Linked DNA regions of Notamacropus eugenii. The protein of the gene in region 3 purifies or fractionates together with the protein of the main gene of each other region. This does not show direct contact. Links are inferred from orthologs where the notes say so. Each region holds a gene or a part of one and is shown on either strand. Other genes may lie near its edges.

Evidence for each region.
Region 1: the proteins of VAPB (region 3) and ARHGEF12 purify together in Homo sapiens (affinity purification with mass spectrometry; 3 studies listed by BioGRID and IntAct, counting the BioPlex papers as one, with this or other methods). This does not show direct contact. The link is inferred for Notamacropus eugenii from reciprocal best matches to the Homo sapiens genes VAPB and ARHGEF12.
Region 2: the proteins of VAPB (region 3) and AFTPH purify together in Homo sapiens (affinity purification with mass spectrometry; 3 studies listed by BioGRID and IntAct, counting the BioPlex papers as one, with this or other methods). This does not show direct contact. The link is inferred for Notamacropus eugenii from reciprocal best matches to the Homo sapiens genes VAPB and AFTPH.
Region 4: the proteins of VAPB (region 3) and FAM83G purify together in Homo sapiens (affinity purification with mass spectrometry; 3 studies listed by BioGRID and IntAct, counting the BioPlex papers as one, with this or other methods). This does not show direct contact. The link is inferred for Notamacropus eugenii from reciprocal best matches to the Homo sapiens genes VAPB and FAM83G.

What each region holds. Positions count from the first base shown.
Region 1 is NC_092876.1:277,951,678-277,959,672, reverse strand, and holds the start of ARHGEF12 (rho guanine nucleotide exchange factor 12), read left to right. Parts: upstream 1-4,985; 5' UTR 4,986-5,119; coding exon 5,120-5,151; intron 5,152-7,995. UniProt on the Homo sapiens protein: May play a role in the regulation of RhoA GTPase by guanine nucleotide-binding alpha-12 (GNA12) and alpha-13 (GNA13). Acts as guanine nucleotide exchange factor (GEF) for RhoA GTPase and may act as GTPase-activating protein (GAP) for GNA12 and GNA13.
Region 2 is NC_092872.1:639,957,961-639,965,960, forward strand, and holds the start of AFTPH (aftiphilin), read right to left. Parts: upstream 3,008-8,000; 5' UTR 2,883-3,007; intron 1-2,882. UniProt on the Homo sapiens protein: Component of clathrin-coated vesicles.
Region 3 is NC_092872.1:506,916,715-506,923,892, reverse strand, and holds the start of VAPB (vesicle-associated membrane protein-associated protein B/C), read left to right. Parts: upstream 1-4,170; 5' UTR 4,171-4,695; coding exon 4,696-4,753; intron 4,754-5,219; exon of another isoform or gene 5,220-7,178. UniProt on the Homo sapiens protein: Endoplasmic reticulum (ER)-anchored protein that mediates the formation of contact sites between the ER and endosomes via interaction with FFAT motif-containing proteins such as STARD3 or WDR44.
Region 4 is NC_092874.1:320,030,152-320,037,391, reverse strand, and holds the start of FAM83G (protein FAM83G), read right to left. Parts: upstream 3,001-7,240; 5' UTR 2,835-3,000; intron 2,529-2,834; 5' UTR 2,281-2,528; coding exon 1,750-2,280; intron 1,734-1,749; exon of another isoform or gene 1-1,733. UniProt on the Homo sapiens protein: Substrate for type I BMP receptor kinase involved in regulation of some target genes of the BMP signaling pathway. Also regulates the expression of several non-BMP target genes, suggesting a role in other signaling pathways.

The DNA.
Region 1 (7,995 bases), on a different chromosome or scaffold from region 3:
AGCTATGTGGAAGATGCCTTGGAGAAGAGATGAGAATAGAAACTACAAGTCCAATGAAGGGGTTAGTGCAGTAATCTATGTGACATGTGATGAGGTCCTCACCTATAAAGCTCTCCCATATATATGAAAACCTACAGAAAAAAAATAGGAAAGAGAGGAAGTACTTATATATTTTTTTGTCTTCAGCTTGATTTTCTTTAAGCCTGGAAGCACTATCTTTTAGGCTCACCTAGGTAGAGCTAGGTTAGGTCAAGGGTTAAGCAAGCAAGGTTAAGGTGGAAGGTTGATTCCCTTAGGCAGAGATCACTTACTTGCACATGTTGCTCAGCCACAGCCTGTACCCCAAGCACTTAGCCAACTGAGTGGAATATTTGCACTGTTGGTCACAAGAGAAGCCAGCTGAGAATGTTATAGAGCTCAGTGCAAAAGCACCACTACCACTGAAAGAATAGCCCAAACACATGTCCTATTGATGTCAGGTCTTCAGTGTCATTTTCCAATGTGAAAATCAGTTTATTTCTTCTGGGCCTGGAATATGTCAGGGATATAACTTTATTTGGTTCTAAAATCATTCTTTTAATCAAGTTTCATTTTTACCTTGTCATTTATTTTTTTAAAAACCAAGTTTTAGACAATGTAGTGCAGCAGAAAGAGTGCTGCATAGGAAGTCAGAGGATCTGTATTTGAATCCTGGCACTGTCTCTCACCACCTTGGGCAATTCCCTTGATTTCTTTGGTTGCTCTTTCCTTGTCTCTAAAATGAAGAGGTTGGACTAAATAATCTTTATTTTTCTTTCCACTTGTAAATTCATGATCTTAAGTGGAGCTATCTCTTTACCTTTTAAACTTTTCAGGGGAGATGAGATGGCTGTTTTCAAGTATTTGAAAGGAGGAATGTGGAAGACATTAGCCTCCTTCTGTTTGGCCCAAGAGGAAAGAACCAGTAACAATGGGTGGAAATTGCAAAGAGTCAAATTTAGGTTTGATGTAAGAAAAAAAACTCAAAACAACAAACAACTTCCTAACAATCATAGCTATCCAAAAGTGGAATGGCCTCTCTCAGGAAGTAGGGGGGTTTCCTTTCATTGGAGATTTTCAAGCAAGGGCTGGGTAATCTCTTGTGGAGGGTATTATAGGGGGGATTCTTTTCCACATGACTACAGAGGTCCCTTCCAAATGAATTCTGTGATTCCATAAACTATAGGTAGCTCCAAAAACAGCCTTTACTATTCTATAGAGAATGGGGGAGGAAAGGTTGACTTTGTGGCACTTCAGTGAATAATTCCCATCTGAAATAATTTCATAATCGCTACATACCATTTCCCACTGAAGCAAAAAGCAACTGGAAAGCACTAGCCTGGGAGTCAGGAGAGCTGACTTTTAGTCTTTTTTCTGCCACTAATTCTTTGTGTGACTTTAGATAACTCACTTCATCTTTAACAACTCTTTGTTTCCCTACTTGTGAAATGAAGGGGCTAGGCTATCTCTAAGTGTTCTTCCGGTTCTAACAATATGATTTTTATTCTTTGGTCATAGATGAATGTCTAAGTTTAGAATTATGTCCAAAACAATTTCCCCAGAAAGACTGTATAGAAAAAAGGGTCTTTAAGATCCCAAAGGGAAGAGGGGAACCCATCTTTACAGTGCACCATTTGATGAATCACTGGAATGAATACATGTCTAACAAAAGGATTATGTCAAAGGAAGACACAGCTAGTCCATCATTGTGAAAGTCTGCATGATTATACAGAATACATCTGTTGAGTTTGTGGCCCAGATTTGGATCTTGACCAAGGCTTATTGAAATGGCTCGATCTCTAGCTGTTTAACAATTTTTGTTTTTTTAAATTGCAGTTTTGCTTGGACAGTTCTTAGGATGGAATTGTGTCATACTAGGATACTCCAGCAGGTGGCAATATATCCTGCTGACATCATTAGGACTGAAGTGACCTGTATCACTAAATCTGTTTCTTTCTAAAAATAAACATTACAAAATTAGCTGGCTCTTTACTGATCTCAGAAATCACGCAGCTAGAGTCATCTTAGGACTCTGTTTTAATTTTTCCCCCCTGTGTTATGTCACCCTTAGCTCAAGCACAAAGAACACTCAGGGTTATGATCCTTCTTGCTGAATGACTTTCACAGAAAGCAATGTTAAAATGAAATTATTTTAACGAAAATTATTAAATTCTGATAAATTTCAATTTTCACCAAACAGCTGAAATCATTAAACCACCAAGACTCTGAAAATGAAACAATGAACAGGGTTATTCAGAGTAGGTTAAGTATCTCAAATTGGGCAGCAATTTATTAAGTCCTTACTATGTGTAGAATCTTGTATTGAAGGAGATCTAGTTTAGACAAGATTGTACCTGTCCTTGTGGGGCTTATAACCTAGAAGGGGAATATGCCATATAGACATATAACTATAATAAAAATACATCTTAAATGGTTCAGTGGAAAGTGAGCTTCAGATCCCAGCTCTGATATTTAATACCTGTGTTACCTTGGGAAAGTCACCTTTCTTGTCTTTTCTTTTCCTCATCTCCAAAATGAGGGGATTGGAGTAGATGATCTCTGAAATCCCTTCCAGACCTAAACCTATGATCTTCTGATAATGTGTATAGGGAAATGTCAACAAATACTCTAATGGGAAGGTGGGGGATGTCATTATTGCCCCAAGGATGGGTGGATAGGTGGAAGGAGAGGGATGGCATACGGGCATCTGTATGGGTAGGAATTCAAGGGTCAGGAGGGATTTCTAGCAAAAGGTACAGCGGAGGCATTTAATACCTGGATGTGAAGACTTGTAGAACATGGATATATTGGGCTCAGTTTCCTATACTGTTGACTTTTACATCATTTATAAGTAGATAATGGTGAAATATGTGGAAAAACCTCCAGAGATAATTTTTATATAGATTCCCTTTGATCAAAATACCAGAAAATGCCTTTTCTTTTCCTTCCACAAACAGCTATGAAGGCCTGCAGAGAAAACAGCACAGCCTGCTCTCTTCCGTGACTGCAAATAACACACCCTATTTTTCAAGGCAGAAACAGGCTAAAGGTAACATACCAAGAAATTGCAAAAGATACAGCTGGAAGGGACCTGAGAGATCAGAAAACAGACCGACAAGTGAAGTGACTTGCCCAAGGTTACAGAGCTATTACATCTGGACAGGACTGCTTTTTTCTTTACTAAGTAGCCCTCCACTGGTCCCCATTATCTCCAGTCTTTAGAGGTAGGGATCGGGGGCCCAAGTGCACCGCCCCGCACAGGTGAAGAAGCTGTTGTCCCAAGTCTCTTCTCAAACCCGCTAAGAGGCTTCCCTTGGAAGGCTCTCTCGGTGCCAGGTAGTGCCGGGTAGTGCCAGGGGGAGCCGGGGCATTGACAGCTGAAACTTTCCAGGGACGTTTCTTCCTTTTCCCCTTTCTTTCGTATTAACAACGGAGCCTTGCAAGGGAGGTCTTCCCTCCCCCCCACCCCCCATCTCTCTGTCGTGGCTCGGCTTTGACAGCCGAGCTTTGCTAAGCAGGTCTCGGTGTCTGTCTCGGTGTCTGTCTCGGTGTCTCTCACACACACACACGGATACGAGGACATAACTACACAAGCAGGGATCACGGCTCTTCAGGACATCTGTGTGAAAATGAGAGGCCAAGGAGAAACCCCATTCACCGGAGGGATCATAAAGTGGGACGAACCTTGTACTTTGCGTACCCCACCAGCCTACTCAACCCCCACTTTACAGAGGAGGCTAATAGAGGCACTGAGGGACCTAGTGACTGGCTCCAAGCGCCACGGCTGAGATTTAATCCTCTGATTCCAAGATCTAGTATGACATCAAGTCTTCCCCATAACCAGCTCCCCCGGGGCCGCGTCGTGCTCCGGGGCGTTGCCTCGCTACAAGGCGCAGAGCCCTCCCGGGGCCGGGCCGCCCGGCCGCAGCACTACTTTTCCCTTCCCTCTCCAGCACGCCGCCTGCGGGGGAGGCTCCCGGAGCCGGGACGAGCGCGCGGAGGAGGCGGCAGCGGCCGATGCGCCCTGGTGTGTGTGCGCCGCGCGGAGGAATCCTGAGTGAGGCGGCTTTCAGAAGTAAGAGAGGAGGCCGGAAAATAAGCAAAAGAGAGAGAAAAGTAGGGCGGGGGAGGAGAGCGAGTGTGGGAGAACGAGCCTAGGACTGGAGAGGACAGAACCGGAACCGGAACCCGTGCGCGCGGCTGGAATCGTCGCGACCCCCCCTCCCCCTGCGCGCCGCCTTACCTTGGGCGTCCGACGCATTCCCCGCTCCCCTCCCCCTCCGTCCCGAGCGCGCTCCCGAGATAGCCCCGCGGGACCCGGCGAACCGGCCCTGAGGGGAGTCCCAGCCGCCGCCGCTCCCCGCCGGCCGAGACGGGACAGGCCCCTCTCCCGGGAGGAGCCGCGGCGGAGAGCGGAAGAAGCCCGAGCCAGCTCCCAGGGGATGGGGAGCCGCGGCCCGCGGCGCTGAGAGACCTCGGCCCCCAGCTCCTCCTCCCCCCCTTCGGACTGACTCAGCGAGTGCCCGCGCCCCTGCCCCAGCCGCCGCCGGGACAGCCCTCCCCCCGGGCGGACGGGACGGGACGGGAGGGGACCCCGCCCCGGGGGACATGGAGGAGCCGAACCCTGCGGAGCTGAGCGAGCCCGGCGCGGGACGGCCCCACGAGCGGAGGCTGCAGCAGCAGCAGAGGCGGCGGCGGCAGCAGCAGCAGCAGCAGCGACGACGACTCACCCGCAGCCCCAGATAGAGCCGACTGGGCCCCAGCCCGGCCCCGGCCCCCGAGCTCGAGAGGAGGAGGAGCGGGGCGCCCGGCCGCTGCCCGAAGCCGGGGAGCCAGCCGCCTTCGCGGAGACTCGAGGCCGCCCCCTTTGCCCGACCTCACGATTCCCGGGCGGGCCTGGAGCGTGTCCCCCCCCCCCCCCCTCCGAGACTTTCTCCCGTTCTTCCCCCTCCCCCCGGCGGATGCCCTATGACTGGCCGGAGTTTGGAGTCGGACTTGTGCGTCCCTCTCGGAGCCGCGCCGGCTGGGGGTGGGGTGGGGACTGGGATGTGGTTGTAAAATGCAAGTTGGATAGAAAGACGACCTCTCGCCAAGGGCCCCAATGAGTGGCACACAGTCTACTATCACGGACAGGTTGGTATGAAACTCCTTTTACTGGTCAGCCTTTGGTAGTGAGCGACTTCCGCCAGCTCCATCACCCCGGAGCTTGACAGGCCCGGGGCAGAGTAGGGTTCGGATCTGTACAAGTACTCCCGAGCTGCAGCCGCCCCGTCACCCAACGCATCCCTGGGGAAGGGACACAGGATGCGCACCTCCAGGTTTCAAAATGAAGCTAAGCTCTTGAGAAACGTAGGTAAAATGAAGGTTTGGGTTGTTTTGGCACTCCTGAGAGTCTTTATCACAACCCCCGCCCCCTCCCAGAAGGTCACTTTGGGTGAAGGTCAGTGCCTCACATCTGTTGGATACCGGGGCAATATCACTCACCCAGTTGTGTGGGCAGTTTGATATTGGATTTTTCCTGAGGGAGAGCTACCTTGTGGCCCGTGTGATCTTCGTCCCTTTTAAAGGGAACTTGGGACCTTGGGACTAGTGAACTTTTTTGTTGTTCAGTCGTTTCAGTCGTGTCTGACTTTTCGTGACTCCATTTGGAGTTTTCTTGGCGAAGATGCAGGAGTGGTTTGCCATTTCCTTCTCCAGCTCACTTTATGAGGATGAGGAAACTGAGGCAAACGGGGTTAAGTGGCTTGGCCAGGGTCACACAGCTAGGAAGTGTCTGTCTGAGGCCACATTTGAACTTCGGAAAATGAGGCTTCCTGACTTCAGGCTCTGCACTCTGTGAAGATCTTGGTCTTTTTTAAAATGTTGGCTTGCCTAATTTTTAATTGTTATATAGTAACTCGGCGATGAATGGAACTCTGTATCTTGTTATAGTTGGGGTAAAGCATCTGGATGGCGATTTTTTTTAAAAAGCTTTTTGGTTGTTATATTTCCATATATGTTACATTTATGTGTTAGGTATAACATTCCATATATGTTATAGTTCCATAATTTCTGATTTTTATATTTCCCAGGAAAATGTAGTTTAAAAGAATATCATAAGCAGTAAAGGAATTATGTAGGGTTTGATGTGCTAGCTAATAAATGGATTTGTCTTTATTAGCACTTAGATTAGATGGATCATTTCTGATTTAATAAGTCAGCAAATACTTTTAGGTTAGGTACTCTGAACCCTTGAGTATTAAACTTTTAAATGTGATACAGTAACATTAAGCACATTCATTTCTACAGTGTTTTTACATATATCATTTTCATTATAACTGGATTCCTTTCACACACAACAAGGTTGCATATTTGTGGTCCATATGCTAACTTCATATTTTTCTTTTTGTGTTCTGGACTAAAATTACAGTTTTTCTTCCAGAAAAAACTCTTTAACACAACTTAAGAAAGTGGAGGGAGGAACTAAAATTGAAGTTTAATAAAAGAAACATCAGCTTTAGAAAAGCCTATTTGTTTTTAAAACTCCTTTGTTGTAAGGTAGAACAATAGGACTCTGGCAAAAAGTGTTTGAATTACTTTATAAGAGTTACACCCAATTGCTGGACTCATTTGTTGATTAAAAAAGGGCTGAATTCCATTATCATACCAAAACAGCTCCTCCAGAGACAGAAGTTGCACTTCCTCTTCCTGTTGATGCTTTCCACAGTGTCACATGCACACTCACCTAAAGCATTCTACTGACATTTAAAAACTCCACATATGCTCTTTTAAAGTGTATCATTTATTTTAAAAATGAGGTTTTGTTGTCTATGAAACATTTTTTCCTGTCTCCTTTGAGCAACCACCATGCTTATCTTGTAATGCCTGAATGTACTTTTATTCCCCTTTCTTTCAGGGTGTTTTGCTTCTGAGAATCACTTTCAGGGGTGAGTGGGTAATTGTTTTCCTGGCTCATTCATTTCTTGCCATTTTTGTTGAGCCATTAGACAGAAAAACACCATTAGAAACAAATGTGTTAGTGGTTTATTTCTTCCTGTTGCTGTTTAAGTCTGTAGAAATGGAGTTTAAGACCACCAACTCATGCCATACAAGAGTCACCAGTGATCTTTTTTGAGTGTTATTACTGGAAATTATATTTGCCTATTTTCAGTTTTGGACATATATTTTCTTTGTCATCTAGTTACAGTATGTGATTCTTGTGAGCATTAAACTAAATTTTAAGTCAGGGGAGGTGTAACTTTAAACCTCTCCATTTTGGTTGTTGATGGTAAAGTTTGTTTTGGGAGTGAATTTTTTCAGATAATTCACAGCACTAACTGATTTGCAGAGTGATATGACAAAAGTCTTTAGAGATACTCTAAGTTGCAGATGACAAAATGTAGGCAATTTAACCAGGCAGTAAGGATACTTGTTTCTTAGGTGTTCTTGTTATAATTTCTTTTCTGCATACTTTTGTTCACTACTTTGTATTGATTGCAGGTGTTGTAGTTTCCCTAATTATTAGCTAAGATCATAGTGTGAATAGTTGTTCTACTATAACTGTGCACAACTTTGACTTAATCTGACTTGTAGTACTGATTTGAATGTGTTGGGGATAAAATCTGGAAGTACTGGTTTAGTGTTGCTTCTTTGCCAAGGATCCTGAAAGTCCTCAGTAGGGAATACTTCCCAGCTTCCTCTAGGCACCACCCACTGTGGCCTTCTCCTTCCCACTATTCAACTCCAAACTAGTGTTGATGGTGTAGTTGATGTCTGACAGCTAAGTTTGCAGTGACTGGCAAACTGACAGTACTGGTGGACCTCGTTATGGTCTTTTCATGATTGAAGTACTATATGGGGTATGCTTTGTAGCGTGTGCAAAATCATCCAGGCCAGCTGTGTGTGAGTCCTTGTTCTTTCATTGTAGTGCTTCTGACTGTACAGTTTGTCTGTCCCTAGCTAAAATCAGACTGGCTGGCTTTGGGCGTTGCTGTTTTG
Region 2 (8,000 bases), about 130 Mb from region 3:
TATATGACACTTTATGGTTTGCACTTTACAAATATCTCACTTTATCCTAACAACAACCCTGGTAGGAACTATTATGATCCTAATTTTATAGATGAGGAAATTAATGCAAATATTTTTATGAAATAGAAGTTAAATGACTAGCCCAGAGTCACAGTTAGTAAATGTGAGAGATCTGATTTGTACTAACTCGATGCCTCTCATTTAAATCCCAGATCTGTCACTTACTAGCTATGTGATCTTGGGCAGGTAACTAATCCTCTGTGAGCCTCAGTTTCCTCACCTGTAAAGTGGCAGACTGGGCTAAATAAACTATAAGGTCTATTTAATTCCTTACTGTGTGGTTCTAAAGTGAGGTTACACTTCCTCTCACAATCATACTAGCCAGGGCTTAGAAGGATAGAGACAGAGACTTTGGTGGGTGGGGAAAGGAAGGCCTTCCAAAGATTCAGATTTTATTAGTAGGAAGAGAGGAAAAGGAAATTCTAACCTCTACTCATTTTTTAATGTAAAAGACAGGTCTTTTCAAAGTTACAAAGAGATTCATTTATATGTTTTAATGTGAAATATCAGGCATCCACTTCAAAATTTCAAACCCAGCAATTCTTTAGGGCATTTAAGAATTCCTGGTAATGACTTTTTAAAAAAAAATACAAAGTAATAATTCTTATATAAATATAAAATACAAAATAACAGATTAATAGTTTACTTGCAGTAAACACAGTTGAACAATAAAGTTTTAACTGAAAAATTTATAATAGGTTTTAAAAGACCCAAACACTTGGTCATTCTATCATGAGAATTTTTTCAAAGTTGTTAATGAGAGGCAGAACACTTCACATGGGGTTACCAGCCAATCAATTTCCCTGGGGTTGGTTTTAGCAGTTATACAAAGTATGCATTTAGTACTGACTTGAGTAATATTTTTTCTGAATTAGTTAATTATCTATGAACTAAATGAATTCAAATTCTTAAAAATTTCTGTAACAATATAAACTTAGCTTACAGTAATTACTACTTGAAGGAAGAAAAGTTTTAAATTCCAGAGAATTAAGTTCCAAACTGTTCATTTTAACAAATAAGATTCATCAGATCCTGCAAACACAATGTATAATTATTGACAGCTTTTGCCTCTGCATCATCATAACTAGCAAAGTAACTGCTTTATATTCAAGTAATTGTATGTATAAAGAAACTGATCAATACAGTGTTAAAACACACATCTACTATGCTCATATGATTAAAAACTGAACTAAAAGGAAAAAACAAAGTTGCTTTTTTCAAAATTAATCTTTCATGATTTCTACTGAAAATGTTTGACCTCCAACATTTTTTTTTTAAACAGCCTAACTTTTTAGAAAACTCACCCATGCACTTTAGGGACGACCACGTACAATTAATTGAATATGTATGCTCTTCCACAAATTTAAAATGCAGTTTTGTAATGGTTGGGTTTGAATAGTTTGTATTAATTCAAAAATACTATCTGTAGTTTACACACGGTCTAATATTTCTGTGGATAAAATGTTAAGACAATGTTGAGGAAACTGACGTTTTATTTACTGTAGCTAATGTTGGTGAGGTTCGCCAAGAACACTTAAGCTATTGTACTGGCAAAAATAACAATGCCTTTGGAGTCAGAGGACTTGGGTTCAAGTCTCAGCTCGGTCACTTGCTGCCTATGTGACCTTGGTTAAGTCATGTCTGAGCTTATTTCCTCATCAGTAAAATGAAGGGGTTGGACTAAACTGCCTCTAAAGTTTCTTCCAACTTTAAATCTATGACCTCTGCGACAAAAGACAGCATGTTAAATATGCAAAATGTTGATATGTCTAACCAACCAAGTCAGCAGTTCAGTATGGTCACATTAGTTTATACTGATGCCTAAAAGGGCAATTCCAAAACTACAAACAAGTTCATTTTCAAAGATAAATCCTATCCTAAAAAGGATTCAAAAGTTGGCTGGCAGGAAGGATAGGCTTACACCTTAAGGAAAGTTCAAAAGCTTAATTCGACATGACTTCCCCCTAGGAGTGGATTAAAAAAAAAAAAAAAAAAAAAGAAACGACACCGAAAGCAACTTGAACGCTGCTTCCGTTTGCAAACCACTCAGCGAACAAGGGTGAATTATGTCCCTTTTTCTCTCGGCCCAAATTGGAAGGAAAAGCTTCGAATTAAACCACAGGCCGGGTGTCCCCTCCGGGCTCGGCGTGGAGGAAAGCCCCGCCAGGACTTAGGACCCTCCTCGGCATTTAAACCAGTCCCCTATCCGGCGGGGCCAGCCCAGCTCCCGGGCTGCAGGGGTCCGCTCGGACCCCGGCAAGTCAACCGTCCTCGGGTCACAAGTGATTTCTCCGGAGGGTGACGGGGAGGAGGGAGCGCGGAGGGGGGCAGGCGGCCCCGGCCCGGGCGGCGGCCTCGGGCAAAGGGGCAGTGTTTACACCTGTCACGAGGAAGGGGAGAAGGGGGGGAGCAAGCAAAGCTCCGAACTTCACAACTGTGCGGGTGTGTGCGGGTGTGTTTTCCGAGGGAGGGGAAGAAGAGAAAATCAGGGCAGGTAGAGAGGTCAGGACCAGGCGGGGAGCGGGAGAGGTCGCCTCCAGCCGGGGCTGGGGAGCCGGGGGTGGTCGGGGCGGCGGTCGGTGGCGGGGGGGAGCGGCCCCGGCCCCCCAGGACGGGCTCGCCGCAGGCCCCGCGAGCCTCTTCCTTCCCCGCACCCCCCGGGCAGGAGCCCCTCACAGCCACCGCCCGCCTCCCGGCCCCCTGGCCCCCCCGCCCCGGCCGGGCGCGGGGCGGCCTCGGAGGCGGCGCGCAGGGAGCGCCCGGTGTCTGGGCAGCCCCGTCCTCTGAGGGGAGGAGACCCCGGCGAGGCGGCCGCTTCTTACCTGGCTCCTCCAGGGCGGCCGCGATGGGCATGGCTCGGGGCCGGGGGAGGAACTGGCTCCTCCGGGGCGGAGCGGAGTGGGCGACTAGGGAGGGCAAGCTTCCCGCCGCCCTCTCAGCTGAGCGGCGCCATCTACACCCACCCGGACTTTCAGCGCCTCCGCGGTACCCCCATCCCGCTGCCCTCCGCCTGCCGCCTCCGCCTCCTCCTCCTCCGCCTCCTCCTCCTCCGCCGCGGAGATTCCCTCCGCCCACTTCACACATTCTCCCATCATGCAGCGGGAGAACCGCCGCCGCGGCCACGTCATTTCCGGGCGCAGGGTGGATGGGTCGTGGCTGGGCGGGTGAGGTGGGGAGGGACCCCTGGAGGAGAACGGGTGTCACAGACGCTCCTGTCGAGTGCGGAGCTCGGCCCGCCATTTTGGGTGAGGGCAAAATTGCCCTTTTCTTGGTACGGGGCGAGCTGCGGAGGTAAGTGTAGAAAGAGTCGTCCCTCCTTCCTCCCCTTGGCAGCGGAGCCCGAGGCAGGCGTAATGGCTAAAGCAGTGCCTCGGGGCTGGGCCTCCTCTCCTCGGACGCCCCCGGCCCACACTGAATGGAAAGGGGCCATAATCTGGTTGGTTGCTAACTCTGGAGGACCTGGGAGAACTCCGTTGCTCCTGGGGCCCTCCCCTCCTCGTGCCTCTCTTCCCTCTCGGGCCCTGACCCTCGGCCCAAGCCCGGTCCCCTCTCCTGATTTCGCCCCGCCCCCATCGACTTTCCCATTTATCTGCTGCCGCCAGCAGTTAGGAAATCCCAGGGTTCCAGGAGAAGCCGGTGATCTCCTGTGGGCTTCCCCAGGCACCGGGACGGGGACCGGACGAGGGGCTCAGTGGGGAGCCGACTGCGTACGCTGGGTCTCGGAGAATAATCAAAGCAGGACTTTTCTCAAAGATCTAGACGATTTTAGTTATTGACCGCAACATTAGCGAGGAGGGAAAAGGAGTCCACGGCAAGGGGAGAAATCAGATCGGATTCCTCCGATGGGGGATCGCAAAACACCACTGCACGTGTCTTCTCTTCTGAGTGCCCAGTTCATTCAGCAGTATGAATTACCAGGCTGTCTACGTGAATTATTGTGATCACTCAAAATAAGCCTTCCCTTCTTCGTCTCTGCATCGCTTTTACTTGGGCTCCTCACACTCTGTGATCCACCTACTTCAGCGGACCTAGGCATTTTGAATAATTTAAGGTATTTTCGCAATTCTAAAGTAAAGCATTTACATATTAGAGACCATGAGAAAACAATCCCACTGCAGCGCCGGTGTCTGTCTGTTCTCTGGGGTGAGGGGAAAGAGCAGAATTTATCCCCTCATTTCATAGTGACTTTGAGGGCTAAAATAGAATATTTGCCTCTTTCGACTCAGTCCTTGTTAGACGGAGAGATTGCATCGCTACAAATTTTTCCTTCTGCTTCCTGAGTAGTAAGAAAAATGGATATACTGTATCTAATTTATCGCATTGTATTTTGCCCCCTGCTGGTTCAGCAGGTATACATTGTTGCATATAACCCAACCCATAGTTTACTACAAACTGAAAGGAAACTGAAAAAAAAATATTTGGGAAGAAAAAAGTAGTTTGCACAAAAGCGGAAGTATGTATTGGTTTAGAAGTTGTGCTAAATGGCAGGATTCTGAGTAGAACATGTGAGAAATACCACTGTGGATTAGTTTCATCTAATTTGATTTGAAGACAGGTTGTCATTCAGAGAAAGCAGTAAGCCAGATCGTGAATTCAATCATCCGGGGCTCCACTTTGGGAAAAAGTTTGTTCTTGATATCACCTAGTGCTTTATTTATCACTACAACTTGAAGATTTTTTTTTTTTTCACCATGTAACTCGTTTATCCTGACCACTAGAATTGCAGAACTCCCCACAGAAATCCTCTTTATGTCAGTTCAAAGAGAGGGCGGCTAGGTGGCGCACAGTGGGCACAGTGAGCAGAGTGCCAAGCCTGGAGTTAGGAAGACTCATTTTCCTGGGTTCAAAACTGGCCTACGATATTTACTAACTGTGTGACCCTGTGCAATTCACTTCACCTTGTTTGCCTCCTTTCCTCGTATGTAAAATGAACTGGAGAAGGAAATGGCAAATCACTGCAGTAACCTTGCCAAGAAAACCCCAAATGGAGTTATAAAGAGTTGTGGACGCTATTGAATGATAATATTGCCTTTAGTTGTGAAGGCTTTTTATTGTTTTAAAAATATTAATCTTAAAGCAGGATTTTTTTTATCTTTTTGTCTTATGGTCACCTTCATAGTCTGTTAGACCTCTTCTAGACCTCTTCTCAGAATTTTATTTTTTTATATTTTTAAATTAAATTATTTTATTTGTTTTCAGTGTTTTATAATCACTTCCACATATCTTAGCAGAATTTTAAATGCATAGGCTTACAATGGAGATCAATTATATTGGAATTTAGTTATCAAACATTTGAAGAAAATAGACAAGTTCTTAGAATCCAGGTTAAAAACTCTTAATCTAATAGAAATTTTCAGTGATCTGAATTTTTTGCTAAATGATTAAAATACATGTATTCATGGTTTGGGGAATGGTAAAATAATTTGTGTCTTATGAACATAATAGAGTATTATTGTGCTGCAAGAAAAGGTAAATATGAAGAATAAAAAGAAATATTATGTGACATAAAACAGAATCAGAATTCATTCATACATGCTAACTGCAAGTATATAAAATGAATAAAATAAAACCTGAAAAATTAGTGTTCAAAAAATCAATATAAGTAAATAAGTTAATAAATTTTATTAATACATTTATTTAGCACCTAATATGTGCTCAGCTAATATTTCCACTTTGCAAATTTCTCATTTGATCCTCCTAACCATCATGCAAGTAAAGAAGGTGCTATTATGATCCCCATTTTAGCCAGTGAGTTGTTATAAGTGAATTATCCTGAGTCTTTCAGACATTGTATGTCAGAGACAATACTTGAACCCAGATCTTCTTGATTTCTTGGACAGCTTGACATCCATCCACCACATCCTGCTTCCTTTCTTGTAAATAATCAAAGAATTTTAGGGTTGGACCAGACCTTAGAAATCACCTACTCCAAAAATATCAAACTCATGGCCTTGCAGTCTACTTTAACAGCTGGCAAATCTCCCTAATAGGACTTAACATGTAACTGGGAAATGTTTAACAAAACAAATTAAAATACAGTGTTAATTTGAGTTTCTCTAAATCAATATTTGGTCCCTATTTCTATTTAAATTCGATTCACTGATCTACTCCAACCCCTTCATTTTACATATGAAGAAACTGAAGCTCAGAGGTTACACATGAAATTAGTGACTGGCTTGGGCAAGGTCTAGTAGAATTCAAATCTGACTCTTAAGTTAAGAATTTACAGTATATCACACTGCTTATTAAGACATTCATATCTGGGTTTTTTTTCAAATTTATATACATGGCCTTGACTTCCTTACATTCATTTCCAAATTAAAAAAAAAAACAATTTGATCTTGAAGAGTAGTTGTGGTTTTTTTTTTCTTTTTACAAAAGAGTTTTTTAAAATATGAAAACTGAAAGAAGCAAACGGGGATTACAGCATTCTTTTATTTTTAATTTTTTATTCGTTTTTGAATTTAAATGCAAAAAGACAAAAAAAATCCATTTACATAGCCCCACACAAGGAGAGAATTCAATACGAAGCCATGATTCCATTTCATACTTTACTTAAAAAAGCTGAGCTATGTAATAAATGCTATTCATTGTTTTAAAAGCCACCCTGTTTTTCTGTGCTTTCTTCTGAGTTTTCTTCTCTGTTGTGCACTTTTTACTTTATCTTTCTCCCTCCCTCCCCACACTACCCTCAAGAAGGCCACTGATGCAATATGTGTGTGTGTATGTGTGTGTATATACATGTATATACATGTGTATATGTGTGTGTATGCATATATATGCAAAACCATACTACACATACTTATCAGTTCTTTCTTGAGGTGGATAGCATCTTCCTTCATAAGTCTTTTGTAGCTGATTTGAGTCTTTGTAATACTCAAAATAACGTAGGCATTCACAGTTGTTCATTGAACAATATTGCTATTGCTATATACAATGTTCTTTTGGTTTTGCTCATTTCACTCTTCATTATTTCCTGCAAGTCTTTCCATGTTTTTCTAAAAAGAAACCAGGTCATCATTTCTTATAGTGCAGTAGTATTCCATATAATGATGTAATAAATTTTAATCCATTTAAACCTAGGCTAATATGCACAATAGTTCCTGGGAAAGCAACTGTAATAAAAAAAAGAATAGATTGTAATGTGGTACCAGAGAAAAGACAACAAGAATTACATTGTCATAAGGAATACCCAGTTTGGATGGTAGGATAAACTGAAGTTGGCAATAATAATAAAAACTACGTATCACTTGGGGTTTACATTTTGCAGGTAGCTCATTTCATCCTCTCAACAGCCCCAGGCAGTAGGTGCTATTATCCCCATTTTACAGATGAAGAAATTTCAGCAGACAGACCTTCCCACCTGCCCTTTATGAAATATATTGTTTATCATAGAAACATAGTCCCCTGCAGCTGAAAGGGACCACAGAGTTCATCCTATCCAACTCTCTGCTGAATCTCTAATATCCCCAAGTGGTCATCTATCTAGTTTCTGCTTAAAGATTTCTGTTGATGGGAAATTATTTCCTGAAACCGCCAATTCCACTTTTGAATAGGGAATTGGCTAAGGAATTTAGTGATGCTCTGCATTCTTTAGCGGCTGGAATATCCCTAATTAAGGCAGTGGCCCTGGACTCTCAAGATTCCACCTGACATCCTTTGGTTCACTTGTACTTCCTCTGATGCCATTGCATTGCAAGAGAAATCTCCAAACCCTCTCCCTAAAGGAAATGAGAAGCTGAACTTGAAATCATTGTCCTATGTCCTCGAAGGCTCAAGTAAATAAATAGTCATTTCCTGTCATGTCTGTGTGTCTGTGTGTGTTTGTGTCTGTGTACCTCATTAGAAGATAAACAAGCTCCTTGAGAGCAGAAATGTTTGCTTTTTGTCTTTGTATCCCTAGCACTCCGGTCAGTGGCTGACACATGGAAGCTACTTAA
Region 3 (7,178 bases):
ATTTTACTAATAAAATGTGTTTATAAACATGAAGACTTGCATTCTAGAATGGTTTTTCTTTGTGGTTTGATCTAAGGAGCACATATTTCCTCCAAATCATGATTTCTCAAATAGCATATCTAAAACAGTTCCCAGACAGAGTTGGGAAACTAGCTACAGAACTGACAGTTGTCACACAGGCAAGTGGCAACAAGAACCAGCTGTCTTTACTTTCTAGGTTATCCTTCTGGATGGTCCTAATCTTCCTCATCCCTTGTGATTCAAGACAGGGGCCAGAATTGCCAAGGCCAAGATTAGCCCTTTCTTTTGAGGGTAGAGTTGAATTGGTTAAATGGGTCATGAAATAAAAAGTTCAAAACTAATTTCACTTCAAACTTAGAAGTTTATCAGAGATGCTAGTGTTCCATTTGCAGTGTATATGTGAATAGTGTTACTGTGTACATGCTGTGAAAAGTAACATGTTTTCATCTTCTCTTAGCTTTTTAGAATCAGGATCCTTTACTGCTGTAATGTGCTTGACAGTACCTACCTGCAGGCTTAGACAGGGCAGGCAGTGCCTAGAACATGTTTCTCAGATTTCAGATAATTTCCAAATTGATTGGTAACTTTCATTTGAAATTCAGCACCAGACTTCTAGTGAGGTAGTGATTGAGATAACTAACATTTAAGGCTTAAATTTAAAGCTTGTGGGTATTTTGAGTCCAATCAATACCAGCTTAAAAATATGCTGCCCTACTGAAAAGGTCGATATTGTTTTGAGAAACCAAGCATCAGTTTTCTTAGATCTTTTATTATAAGCATTAAACTATTTCTTTAAAAGGAAGACAAAAGAAAGTACATATCCTGGAGGGCTCTTGACACAGATTGTAGCAAAAAAATTTACATCTGACTCTGGTCAGAATGAATTAGGGTGTTAATAGACCCATTGTTTTAATCAAGAGCCCAAGAATTTAGATTTTCATCTTAAACAGTGCTGCCTAAAACTTCTCAGTATTTTCTAGCAGTTTCACAGTACTAGAATTCAGAAAACACCTTTAATAGTTAATAGTTGAAATTTATTATGCTGCTTTTAAGGTTTGCAAGATATTTTGCACATATTTGCATATATTCATTTGACTCTCACTGAACACCTGTAAGGCTGAAGAAGATTTGAGAGTCACTTGGACAGCAAAGAGATCAAATACTTAAGAATTTGATTCAGGCTATTTACTGGAATGTCAGTCAATAATGAAGCTGAAGCTTAAATACTTCTGCCACATAATGAGAAGACAGGACTCCTTGGAAAAGACCCTGATGTTGGGAAAGATTGAAGGCAAAAGGAAAAGGTGACAACAGAGAATGAGATACATAGTATGGGAATAACAAACATGAACTTCAACAGACTTGAGACCTTGTGGAGGATAGAAGGGTGTGGTGTGGCAATGGTCTCTGGGGTCATGAAGAATCAGCCATGGCTGAACAACAACAACCCCGTGAAGTAGGCAGGTCCTGTTATGCCCATTTAACAGATAGGGAAACAAGTTGCAACTCTCCCATGGTCACACAGCAAATGTCTGTTGCATAATTGGAACTCGGGTCTTTTTTGTCTTAAGGTTTAGCATTTTCCCACAGTACTAGATTGGCATGTAAAGATTATAAAAATGAAAGTACTGTATTTATTGTAAATAATGTGAAACAACCAAACTGATTTTTTAAAAAGTTCTTTGGTAAGTCTTCAATACATAAATAATATAGATCCAGAAATTTGTTAAATAAACTTATTTGTTAAATAAACTTATTTGTTAAATGATATGGGAACAGCCTTCAAAGGTTTTACAAAGATTCTATTCACCTTTCCGGAAACAGCTATTTTTTAAAAATGAAATGCTGAACTTTACATTTAAGGTCAAATACCTAGATTCTTTTCATAGTGCTAACACTGACATCAGCATTCCCATCTTCAGCTAACATCAATACTATTAATGTATGAAAGAATGAGAATAAGAATTATGAAAACAACAATAAGAACTCATTTTTAACCCGTGTGATTGCAATGCAAATTTGACAGATTTTATTATACAAGCCATTTAAATTATAAAATATCTAGATTTGTTTTTTCCTTTAATATGTTATTACAAAAGCAATAATTCCACATTTGACAGTTAAGATGTTGGGGATTCTTTTTCAGTTACCCTTGATTTCTTTTTAAGTGCAAAAGAACAATTTTTACAAGTGGGATAGAGTATAATTGCCAAATTTACGAATTTCTGGGAAGAAAGTTTTAAATACGAAGTTTATAGAAATCAGATTCATTTTTTTAAAAAGTACAACCTGTTGTTCTAAGTGACTGAGTTTAAATAGAAAAATCTTAACTTGCCTCTTCAGTATTTTGAAATTGAATAAACTGATACAGAGGCTAAAGTGATCTGGCAAATGTGGAAGAACATTTGAAGAAGTAGAAAAAAAATAGCATCTGAAAGTGATGGTTAAATACAAATCACTTCCTGGACAAAGTTGATTTCAGACATCTAAGCCTGCTGTTTGACATGCTTAATTATTTACTGATGTAACAAGATTCATGACTGCTATATGTGAGCTGATTTGTATTTGCATATATAATGCTAACCCCTGTATATCTCCTAAGAGCTGAGGGTCATTTAACATGTGGCTCATAATTAACATGCTAATTTTTTTTTCATATTGCAGCTTTTAAATAGAGACAAACCAAAGTTGTCATTCTTCATTTAAAAAAAAAAGTCAAATGAAGAAAAGCAAAATGATTTAAATTATGTAGCGAAATGAGAAAGAAGAATCTTTCTAAGTCACTGAATGCACAACATTAAACAGGATCACGGTTAGTCTGAACCACCCAGGGATCAGAAAGAGGCCTTCTAAAGATGAACAGAGAAGTTTGAGATGGACAGAAACAGCTGAAGAGGTGGGATACATTATAAATAATGCAGATATATACTGTAGCCTACTTCCTTAATGTTTCTACACAATCTTCTGCCTTGTTGCAAGCTTTAATAGGTTGATTCATCGTGTTTTATGGTCAGATGTTAAAACACTCCTGCCAGTGAAAAGCCCTAGATCTGCTTAGACACAAAAATAAAAATCAGAACCAGATTTTACGGCTCCTAATTGTCTAGAGATAAAATACTGGGACAGCACTGACAAATTATTATATTAAGGAATTGATCTAAAAGATTAACAGGGAAAATATTTATTTTCAGAGAACTTCCACAGAAGAAGGTAGAAGAAGGTATTTCATAATCCTTCCCTTTCCTGGTTGATGTAAGACTTTCACATTAATTATATTTTATAGAATAGTCTGAGGATACCTTCAGAGGCTTTCAGAGGATTGTAGAGCACCTGTTATTTAATATATAGGAACGGCAGTAGGGTCTAACACAGATCATTGAACCCAAGGGTAGAAAATCTGTGTTAAAGGTCCCTTTTTACTAATAGTATGTTACTAAGTCGTGTCCAACTCCTCCCAATCCCACCCACCAGAGTGGTTTGCCATTTCCTTCCCCAACTCCTTTTACAGATGAGGAAACAGAGGCAAATGAGGTGAAGTGATTTGCCCAAGGTCGGATCTGAATTCGGGTCCTCCTGACCCTATCCACGTCGTCACCTAGCTGCAGCACAACGACGGACAAATCAATTGATTTCTCTTGGCCTCAGTTTCCTCATCTTTAAAGTGGGGGTAATTACCCTGAGCCTGGTCCACCTAACAGATTAGTGAATCTAACGATAGTAACCGGTGGTAGAAACTGTTGCAAGGTTATGTACAAGCATTATGTATTATCAGAATAATGCACTTGCATCTGGGTTGCCCAAGTTCCTTCGCTTGTTTCAGAAGTAAAACTGATATTCATTTGAACACTGCTGCTCCCGATGCCCACGGTTCCGCCAAGGCCCCGGGCACCATCCTTCCAGGTGACCTCTGGGCAAAGGTAACTATCCGGTGGTGGTGGAAAGAACGGTCAAAGCCGGCCGCTGACACCCCAGAAAGAACGAGAGCCGCGGTCTCCAGCAGAACGAGGGCAGCACCACGGCGGGGCGGCGGCGCGCTCGTGCCGCCCCAGCCCCGGCCCCTTCGGGGGCTCCCCACGCCCCCTCCTCCCGGAGGCCCAGCCCCGGCGCCCCCGCCCCTGGCGCCACGCCCTCCCTCGGGGCGCGCGGCCCTGCCCTCCTCTCCTCCGCGCGCCAGCTCTCCCCTCTCCGCCCCAGGCGGATCCAGCACGCGCGCACTCGCCCAGGTGGCCGGGAAGGAGGACCAGGCTTTCGCAGCGCTCGCTACGTCAGCTCCGGCCTGTCCGGCCCTCCGGGTGCTGCATCATCGCAGGCGCCTCCCGCCGCCGCCGCCGCCGCCGCCGCTACCCCCGCTCCCTCGCCTCCGCCGCCTGCTCCCTCTCTCCCCGGGTCTGGCTGTGGGTCTGCGTGTGCGTGCGTGCGTGTGCGTGCGTGTGCGAGTGAGTGTGTGAGGGTGCCGGGCCGCGGCTGGGCTCCCCGGGCATCTCGCCGCCGCCCGCCCTCCGCCAGGTCGCCGAGACCCCTCTGCGCCTTCCGCCGGTGCTCCTTGAGCGTGTTTTCCGTCTGTTATTCCATGCCCTCTTTATTTTAACCTCCTGGGTCACCGACCCTGGTGCAGCGGGAAGCGGCCGCCTCCACCCCCTCTCCCGCCCCCGCCCCTCCCCCAATCCGAGGAATATGGCGAAAGTGGAGCAGGTCCTGAGCCTCGAGCCGCAGCACGAGCTCAAATTCAAAGGTAAGAGCGCGGGGACGCGGGCCCGGCCGGGGCGTTTGCGGGCCCTGGCCGAGGCACCACTGGCAGCCATTTTCCGGGGGCCCGGGAGAGGCAGGCGCGAAGAAAATGTCCTTCAGGTTTATTTCTCGGGGGCTCTGTGTGTGCGTCTTGGCCGCTTGGAGGTCCCCTTCTCCCCCCCTCCCCCCTTAGATTTAGCTTCAGATTCCCCTCCCCCACCCAGGAAAACGCGTTTCGAAGGGGCGTCCACCTGTTTATTGTATTTACCGGGTCTGAATCCTGGACATTTCGGGACCGGGCCCCACTTGCCTTGCTCCTTTGCAGAGCCCAGCTCCTCCTCTTCCCACACCCCACACTGCCAAAGAGGAGACGGATAGCCTGGAGAAGGGAAGGCTCCGGTTCGGGCCGGGGCTGCCCGCTGGGCGTTTGCCTGCCAGCGCCGGGAGGACTGGGTGGGTGCCGGGAGCTGGGCTGGGGGTGGGGGAAGGGCTGAGCTTCTGGGCCTCGGGGTTGTGCGGGACCGGGCGCTGGGGATTTTCCAGACCCTCTTCCCCCGCGCCCCAGGTTCTGGACTTTCTGATGTTGTGCCCCAGAAAGAAAAATGGAAATTTCTCCTTTGCAGAAACGTTTCTCTTTCCAATGACTTGACTTTACAGGATTCTATTTCTTCATCTCCTCCCCTCCTCCCCGCGCCCAGTTTTCTACCTAGAGAAACTGCCCGGGTTGGTTTGTGCATACTTTGGGTAGCCTTCCTACGAATGGGTAGTGTGTAAGCTTTCTCGGTGGCAGCCTAAGTAAATAATATCTTCTTTTGGGGTTGGTGTCTGCTCTCTTTGCTCTTATTAAAATTGTCAGGGCTGCTGGGAGCTTCGAAGAGGGGATACCAAATGCAACGTGTGCAACTGGTTCTAATTTGTTATTTGCAAGGAAACCTAGGGCCTTTAGCCCAGGGTTTGTCAGTGCTTTACATTTACCTGTTATTTTGTTTATGCTTCCCCTTCTTGAGGGATTGCTAGAAAACATGCTAAAACTCTTGCCATTTTGCTTCATAAAACAGAGACATTGGCTCCTGAATGTGCAGGGACTTAACGTTTGCTATTTAAAATTAAGTTCAAATAGTTGAAGTTGACAGAAGAGAAGGTGTTTTAATGCTGTCCTATGGGACGTTGCAACTTTGTAACTGCACTCTAAGCATGTAGGCTAGTTGCTACATTACTAAAACAGGGTAATCTACTGTAATGACTTTATTTATGTATTTATTTTTAGCAAATGTTGGTGGAAATGATTTCCATTTAGAGTTGTTCCTAAGGGCCATCACCCAGGTGTGTGAAATAATAAGGGCTGACACGAATAGTTGCACTTTATTTTTATACCTGGATAAACTGCCCTTTGTCAACGTAGGTTTGGCTAGCCTCTAATTAAAACTATGTTGCTGTAATCTCTCAAAATCATTCCTAAGTTATTACTGCTTCCCTAACACGTCCCAACTTCATTTACCTAAGCCCCCACTAGTAGAGAAAGGAGACACCTATAACTAATGGAAAGCCTGAAGAATTCTATTCTAGGCCACTAGAAAATTGTTGCCAGGCCATCATCATGTCCCTAGAGGACAGCTAATGTCATTTTAGAAGTCTGTTTATCTGCTTGCTATTCTCTTTAAACCTTTTCTATGCTTTTGAGTCAACATGTTGATAGATTATCTTTTTAGTATCAAACTATGTCTGTAAAGAAGAGGGCCAGTGTGTAAAGTGGTGGATGCAAATTAGTAGTAGTAACTGAGTGAATTTTTGCAAACTGAGGTTGAATTGGGTGCCATGAATGCCACTGAAGAAATGACTTTTTGTTAATTATCACTTATGGCACTCTACTAAGAGAAGAGGAAATTTTGAGAGTCACTATGGTATAATGTAAAGAACACTGAATCTGGGGTCAAAGGACCTTGAATTTAAATTCTGAACTTTGGGCATCCCACTGAACCTCTCTTTTGGCTTCAGTTTCTTTATCTGTAAAATGAAGAAACTGAACTAGATGACCTTTCAGGTCCTTTCCAACTCTAAATTATCTTATGAAAATATCCCAAATAGTCTGTGCTCAGTGTTCCATCTTCCTCGTCAGGTGATTCATCTTTATGTGGAAACCCTTAGGGAAAGCAAGAAATGGGCTTTCTAGAAAAGAGGAGAAAGAAAACCATTTTTTTAGTGCTTTCACTGCTGGCGAAACAGAATTCCAGAAATCACATCACTCAAAGCAACTTCAGCATATGTGTCAAGTGAGTAGTAGCATATGAAGGACAAATGCCTATGGAGCTAAGATAGGAACACAGAAGGCATTTAAAAATATCTTTGTAATGCTTAAATTATAAACTGAACTTAACCACAAAATTAGCTAGAGAGTCATCAGCAGTCCTTGCTCTGCAGAGATCAAATTC
Region 4 (7,240 bases), on a different chromosome or scaffold from region 3:
AGGATGACCCCAATCTCTAAAAAGCACCAGAAGGCAGAGAGAAAGAGTATTGGATTTGCAATCAGGAAATCTGGGTTCAAATCTCCATTTTTCCACTTAGTACTTGAGTAACCTTCTGGGAACCTCAGTTTGCTCATCTGTGAAAATAAAGGGAGTGGACTGAGTGATCCTGAAGGGCTCTGGGAGCTCTCCTTCCTATTATTCAAAGTGTAAATGTGACCAAAATAGCAGCTCATTTACAGCCAAACAAGGCTGAAGCAAGACCTCTTTTAAGTGGAAAGTCCTATTTAATAGCTTGTTTGTGTGTGCACATGCACACACGCACACACATGCATGCATACATACATACATACGTACATACACACAGAGAATTAAAGTGCAGGCAGGGTTTGAAAGCTACTCAATATGCTCTGTAAGGCTAAAAAAAAAAAACAAATCTCAGATCTCAGTTGAAGGAGTTTGTGTTTTGAACTGGAGAGTATAACTAAAATGAAGGGAAGCTGAGTCTGTATCATGTTCCACCTCCTTACTTGCAGAGGTGGAGCCAAATTATCTTTCAGGTTCCTTTCAACTCTCAGCTTCTACAAAGATTCAGCCTAAATATCCTTTGCTGAAGTCTCTGACTCTTCCTACTCAGCAACTTGCTACCTTTGTCCAGTCCTCAACTCAGTAATGAAATGTTGGCCTGCCCATGCCAAGTCAGCATCAAATCCCCTGGCTCCAGAAGCAGACTATAAATTTACTCTGTATCCTAAAATTTACCCAAGCAGAAACAGAGGACCAGAGAAGTCAAGTGACTTCCTCAGATCACCCAGCACTACCAAGGCAAAGTGTGGACTTAAACCTAGACCCAATCCCTTAGCCCAATACACTGTTTTTCTCAGACTACAGTGTTCATCTTAGTCACAGTTGGGATGAGTTTGTCTATTTTCCAGCTGCCCTCTAGAGTCTAAATCACATGTTTATGGACACCCTAGGAGAATTTCTGGTCCCAAATCCTAGATTCAGACCTTACTGTGATCTGAGTCATGCCCACACCCACCCTGGTTTCATCAAATACTCATCTGCGTAGGCAGGAGCTTTCTTACTATTCACTATGTCATAGAGGAACACACAGACACACACTGTGCCATTGCCTAAAGGTAAAATCTGTTCAGCTACCGAATTTTCTCAGGAAGGCTTTTTAGAAAGGAAGAGAAAGCTGATATGAATTAACAAAGATATTTGAAAAGGCATCCCTGGCATCTTAATGCAAAAGGGGAGTAGGTAGGAGGTGAAAGTAGTCAGTTCAAAGATAAGAGATTCTCTCTCATTCTTGTCTAACAAGCATTCCCTCAGTTTTGAAGATCATTGTCTCTTCTCCCCCTCAGTGCCCTGAAACTGAAGCCTGCTGTCTCCTGACCTCTAAGGAAACATTTCTGTCAATGACATATAGTGAACTGTGCAAGAAAATCCAGGAATCCTATCTTTCCTGAAAGGCAGTTAGGTGGCAAAATCCAGGGACAGGAATTAGGAAGCCCAGTTCGAATTTGGCCTCAAATATCTGTGTGACCCTGGACAAATCACTTTACTGCTGTCTGCCTCACTTTCCTCACCTGTAAAATGGGGTACTAATAGCATCTAGCTCCCAGGGTTTTTTTGAGGATCACATGAGATATCTGTAAAGCTCTTTGCAAGTCTTAAAGCTCCATATACATGTTAGCCCTTATTCCCCTTCCCTCACCCTCAGGATTCCCCATCCCTTTTCACCTTCTGTGCCTGGTTGATCATCTTCCGGACCACCTCCTTGATGTGAGCTTGTCCATCGATGGGAGGTTGCATGTACACACTGGCACGGGTCACCCCACGGTAGGCAATGGTATCGGGCCAACCAAGGTCCAGCTGCGGGATAGAGCGGTCTGACTTCTGTGGCCAGTATTCCAAGGAAGGGACCAGGTCAGCATCAGCATCAGCATCAGCATCAGCATCACCACCTCCCTCTCCATTCTCTTCCTTATCATCGGGCCCAGAGCCCTCACAGAGGCCTCTGTGTTCCCGGGGGTCCTCAGACCCTGGGTCATAGACCTCAATTGTCTCCAGGATCTTCTTGAGCTCCAACTCGGACAAGAAGTCCCGGATATTCTCCTTCTTGAGAACTTCGTAGAAGGCCTCGGGGCCCCTGGCCACCAGGGCCTCCAGGGCCAACCTCTGCCCCTCACTATAGAAGAATTCAGGTTTCGATTCGCTAGAACGCCAGTTCACATGGCTGTCGTCCAGGCACTGCACCTGGGAGTACGCCATGGCTGTGCCAGGGGTACATACACTGGTCAAGTCAGGCCTGAAGGAGGAAAGGGTGGCGGGAGCTGGAGCAGAGTTAAACTAGGGGTTAGGAGGGGGCTTCCCGGAGGCCAAAGGTGTTCTTCTCTCCCCCCCCTTCCTTCTTGCTCCTCGGATCCGGAGCTCAGATGCCTGACCCCCCAGCGATGGCCCAGTAGGACGGGTAGTGGTTGGCACGCACAGGCTTCACCTGCATTCTGCCCATAGGGAACCTGTTTGGGGAAAGAGACGGAGAGTATGAATAAGGGCTTGCAGAAAGGGCAGTCCGGGCTGGACGGGCTGGAAGTCTGAGGGGGCTTCTAGGTGGGGGGCCGGACCTGGTGTTCCCCTTCCTCCGGCCTGGTCTCTCGTCCCTTCCCCCAACCCCCAGAAAACCCCCCACGGTGCTCCCAGGGGCCAGCACAGCCAGCCCGGATCTCCAAGCACGGCCAAGCGCCGGCCGGTCCGCGGCAGAGGGGGCAGATGGAGCCTTTGGGTGGGCAGCTAGGAGGCCGGGCAGGTGGGGGTTTCCTTCTTACCCCGGCTCTCCCCGGCAGCCTGGGTCCAAGAGGCCGCGCCGGCGAAGGGCACGCAGCGCTGGCCGTCCAGGGAAAGCGGAGCGAATGACAGGCGGGAGGCGACGGGTCGGAAGCCGCCAGGAGCCGCTTGAGTCACGGCCCCGCCCGGCCCCACCTGCGGGGGGGAGGGGCGGTCACGTGCACCGTGGCCCCGCCCTCTGGGCTCTCAGGTGCCTCTGGAGCCTGCCCCAGTCGGACCCAGGAAGCTGAGTCACCCGCGGTGTCTCCCGCCGCGTCTGCGATCCGAGGGGCGGAGGGGAGAAGCCGAGCCCCCCATTCCCGAACGCCGCGGGGATTAGTCCCCTAACACCTCCCCACTCCCGGCCCTGCTCCTCCCTCCCGGCACCCATCCTTAACCCCCTCCTCTGTCTCCTCCCCCAGCCCCCCCCCCCCATACCTTGGAGAGGGAGCCTGATGCGGCTGCTGGGAGTCTGGCGGGTCCCAGCTCCTCCTGCAAGGCCTCCCAGCCCAGGACCAGCCAGCCCACTTCGCTTCACCTCTGCCCCACGCTGAACAGGCTTGCTTACAGACCCCAGGACCTCCTGGGGATTCATTTATCTTAGACGTTGAGAGGAGTTTGCAGATGAACCACTCCGGGCCTCAGTTTCCTCGTTTGAAAATTCCAAAGCCCGGCATTTTATAGCTAAGGAGACCGAGACCCAGAGAGAGAGGAGGTGACAGCCAAAGTTACACAGCTTGGCAGTAGCAAACAGAACCAAGATTAGACCTCAGTCCTCCCAAGTCTCCCTCCAGGACTCCCCACTACTCCACAGCTGCATTGGCTTGTGTTATTTTCCCCGGACTGTAAACTTCTTGAGGGCCTCCAGTCTTGGCATTCCCACAGGACCTAGCATAGGATCAGAGGCAGGGCCTCCATAGAGGTTGATTGTACGGTTTTCATTAATTCCCAGTGATGGGGGTGTTAGCCACCTCCCCAGGTGTGCAGCCAAGAAAAAAGACACCTTCCTCTTAGAAGATCAGGTTCTTTCTCTGCTGCTTGCCATCTGGATGACTCTAGGCAAATCGTTTCACCTCTCTGGCCCTGTTTTTTTATCTGTAAAGTGAAGAGGGGTGGTCTAAATAATCTCTACAATCCCTTCCAGCTGTAGGTCTGTGGTGCTATTTCTCTTTGGCAGTTAAAAGTGGTGTCGTTGAAAGAGCAATGGCTTTCAAGTTGGGAAACCTGGTTCTGAGCTTGGCTCACTGTGTTTTGAGAAGACCACTTTCATCCACCTCAGTTTCTTTATTTGTAGAATGGAGATTGGATTATTGGAGTGAATGATGCTTAAGAACCCTTCCAGCTCTGAAGTTTTATGATTTAACAACTCTAGATGCTGCTACTGGATCAGTTGGGGCAGCTAGGTAGTGAAATGGAAACAAGTGGTGGACCTGAGTTCAAATCCAGTTTCAGGCACTTCTTAGCTGTGTGACCCTGGGTGAATCACTTAACCCTGTTCTGTAAAATGAGTTGGAGTAGGGAATGGCAAACTACTTCAGTATCTTTTCCTAGAAAACCCCAAAAGAATCAGACATGACTGAAAAGAAGACTAAACAGTAGGATCAGTTCCCCAATCCTGAGATGCTTCAGATTCCCCTCACCGTTGCTATTCTAACATACTTTACACAAGGGAAGCTAGATCCCCTGGTGGAGGCCTCTGAAGGCCATCACTTTAAGGGGAACAGATCCTCAGGGTGGGTCCCCTAAGGACAGGCTTACCTCAGCTCCAGAGCAAGCTCAGCTACCTGGACAGAGGCCTTGGCGTCTCTGGAGCTTGGGGGCTCTGGATTATGGGGTGGTGCAGCTGCCACATCTGATGGCTAGAGCCTCCTTTAAACAGCTGCCTGGGCAGGGAGGGGTTTAATTGACCAGAGTCTTAGAAAAGCCCATTAAAAAATGGACTTGCTTTCTGGGCTGTCCCTCCTCAGCCTAATGACAAAGCTAGTTTGGAAGGAGACATTGAACTACATGTGATGAGCTTCAAGAGGGCAGGGACTCATGTTACCTCCTCCTAGCTTCTCCTGACATGGAGCCAGACCCAGAGACTTATGAAGTGAATTGCTGATGGGTTTAGAAGTTTGGTGAATAAGCAGTATGTTGTAGTGAAAAAAAGTACTGGACTAGGAGTCTAGGAGCCCTGGATGTTCACTCCAGTTTTGCCACTATCTGATGTGTGAACTTGGTTAAAAAGTGTTGCCTCTCTGGGACTCAGTTTCTGAACCTGTAAAGAGGAGGGAGCCAGGAGGGCAATTTGATGTTGTCTTAGGTCAGACTTCAGTGATTTAACACTGTGATTCTAGTTATTTGCTTAGTAATCTTAGGGATAGGTGGATGGGTAAGGGAGAATAGGGTTGATAATACTCCCTAGAGTTGAACGATTGACTAACCAATGACTTTGCTGTTTTCTTTCCTAACCCTGAAAAGTGAAAAACCCTGGGATTATGCCTGATCACCCATTTAGGGAGTGTGACGCTAAATAGAAGGCAGAATGAGTTTGGGCAGTAGCAGATATCACTTGAAGGAAATGGAATCTTTTCTCTTTATACATATGTGCTTCCCACTACCACCTTCCCAGGAATCTGCACCAACATGGAAGAAGGAGCAGAAAGTGAGGAATATAATGAAAAAGGGAGCAGGAAAGGAAAAGTAGGGCTTATCCCCTGTTCCTTGGTTTCCTATAAGTCCCAGCTAGAACCCCACCTTCTATAGAAAGCCTTTCCGGATCCCTGTTAATTCTAGTTCCTTCCCTCTATTGATTACATCTAATTTATCCTGTACTTTTCTTGTCTGCAAATATTTGTTTGCTTGGTATCTCTCCTGTTTGTGAGCTCCTTGAGATCAGGGACTGTCTTTCGCCTTTCTTTGTATCCCCAGTGCTAAGCACAATGCCTAGCATATAGCAGATGGTTAATAAATCGTTATAGACTGACTGATGTACTGCCTGAAATGAGCAGTGCTCTGGACAGAGATTCTGGGACTCAAAAGACTTGGGATCTTCTCCCTACAATGCCAATAAATGACTATCAATCTTAAACAGTCTCTTCTTCTCTCTAAGCAAATACCTAATCTGTAAGCATAGAGATTTGAATTTGATCTCAAAGGTCCTTTTTCAGTTCTAAATGTTGTAATCCTGTCTAGCTCTAAAATGTTATGAGTCTTTTGTATTCAGTCTTCCCTTCTGGAAGCATCAAAAGGGAATATTAGAAATTAAAATTTGGTATTGGAATCAAAAAGCCTGGTTTCAAATCCTAGCTCTGTGTTCGTAGATGAGTTATTTCACCTTGCTGTGCCTCAGTTTCCTTATCTGTATAATTCGAGAGTTAGACTAGAATTCAGGGGTGGGGAACCTTTGGCCTTGAGGCAACAGGTGGTCTTCTAGGTTCTCAGGTGTGGCCTTTTGATTGAGTCCAAGTTTTGCAGAACAAATCCCATTAATAAAAGACTTTGTTCTGTAAAGTTTGGATTCATTCAAAGGGCCACACTTGAGGACCTAGAAGGCCATATGTGGCATTGAGGCCGCAGGTTCCACATCCAAGGACTAGATGATCTCAAAAGTTCCTTCCAACTCCAAATATGTGATTCAGATTGGTTTTGGGCAACTAGGTGGGACAGTGGATAGAGTACTGAACCTGGAACCAGGTAGACCTGAGTTCAAATATGGCCTTACTAGCTGTGTTTGACCCTGGGCAAGTCATTAACACTGTCTTCCTCAGTTTCCTCATCTGCAAAATGAGTTGGAGAAGGAAATAGCAAACCATTCCAATATCTCTGCCAAGAAAATCCCAAAAGGGGGTCACAAAGAGTCAGTCACAAAATGACTGAAACAACTAAACAACAAAATTAGGTTTGAAGATGGCAGCTGGTGGGGTAAGGTGTGGGGGTGCTGTTTCTAATATCAGCACACAAGACCATGTGCCTTTGCCATATGTAGTAGCTATATTTTAGGGTCATTCTCTAGCTATGTTACTAGAGTTTCCATGTTTGAGTATCAAAACTTCTTTTACCCTGAAGTGAAACTTGCTCACAAATGGGATTAGGACCAGGGACCTTAGAAGTCATACAGAAGAAACATCCAAGTTCAAATCCTAGCTCTGTGTGACCTTGGGCAAGTCATTTGACCACTCTGGGCCTTGGTTTCCTCACTACAAAATTAGGGATTTGCAATAGATGACCTCCACTGCCCCTTCTTGTTCTAAATACATGATCATTTATGAACCTAAGTATCTGGGTCATTCAGGTAGGGGGAAATGAAATGGATAGGGTTAGGTCATGTGATCTGGTCAAGATCAAGGGTAGCCCATTTGGTCCAGCTCCTATCAAGGAGGAATTGCTGTTCTAACACACTTGAAAAGTGGCTATTCAGGTCACT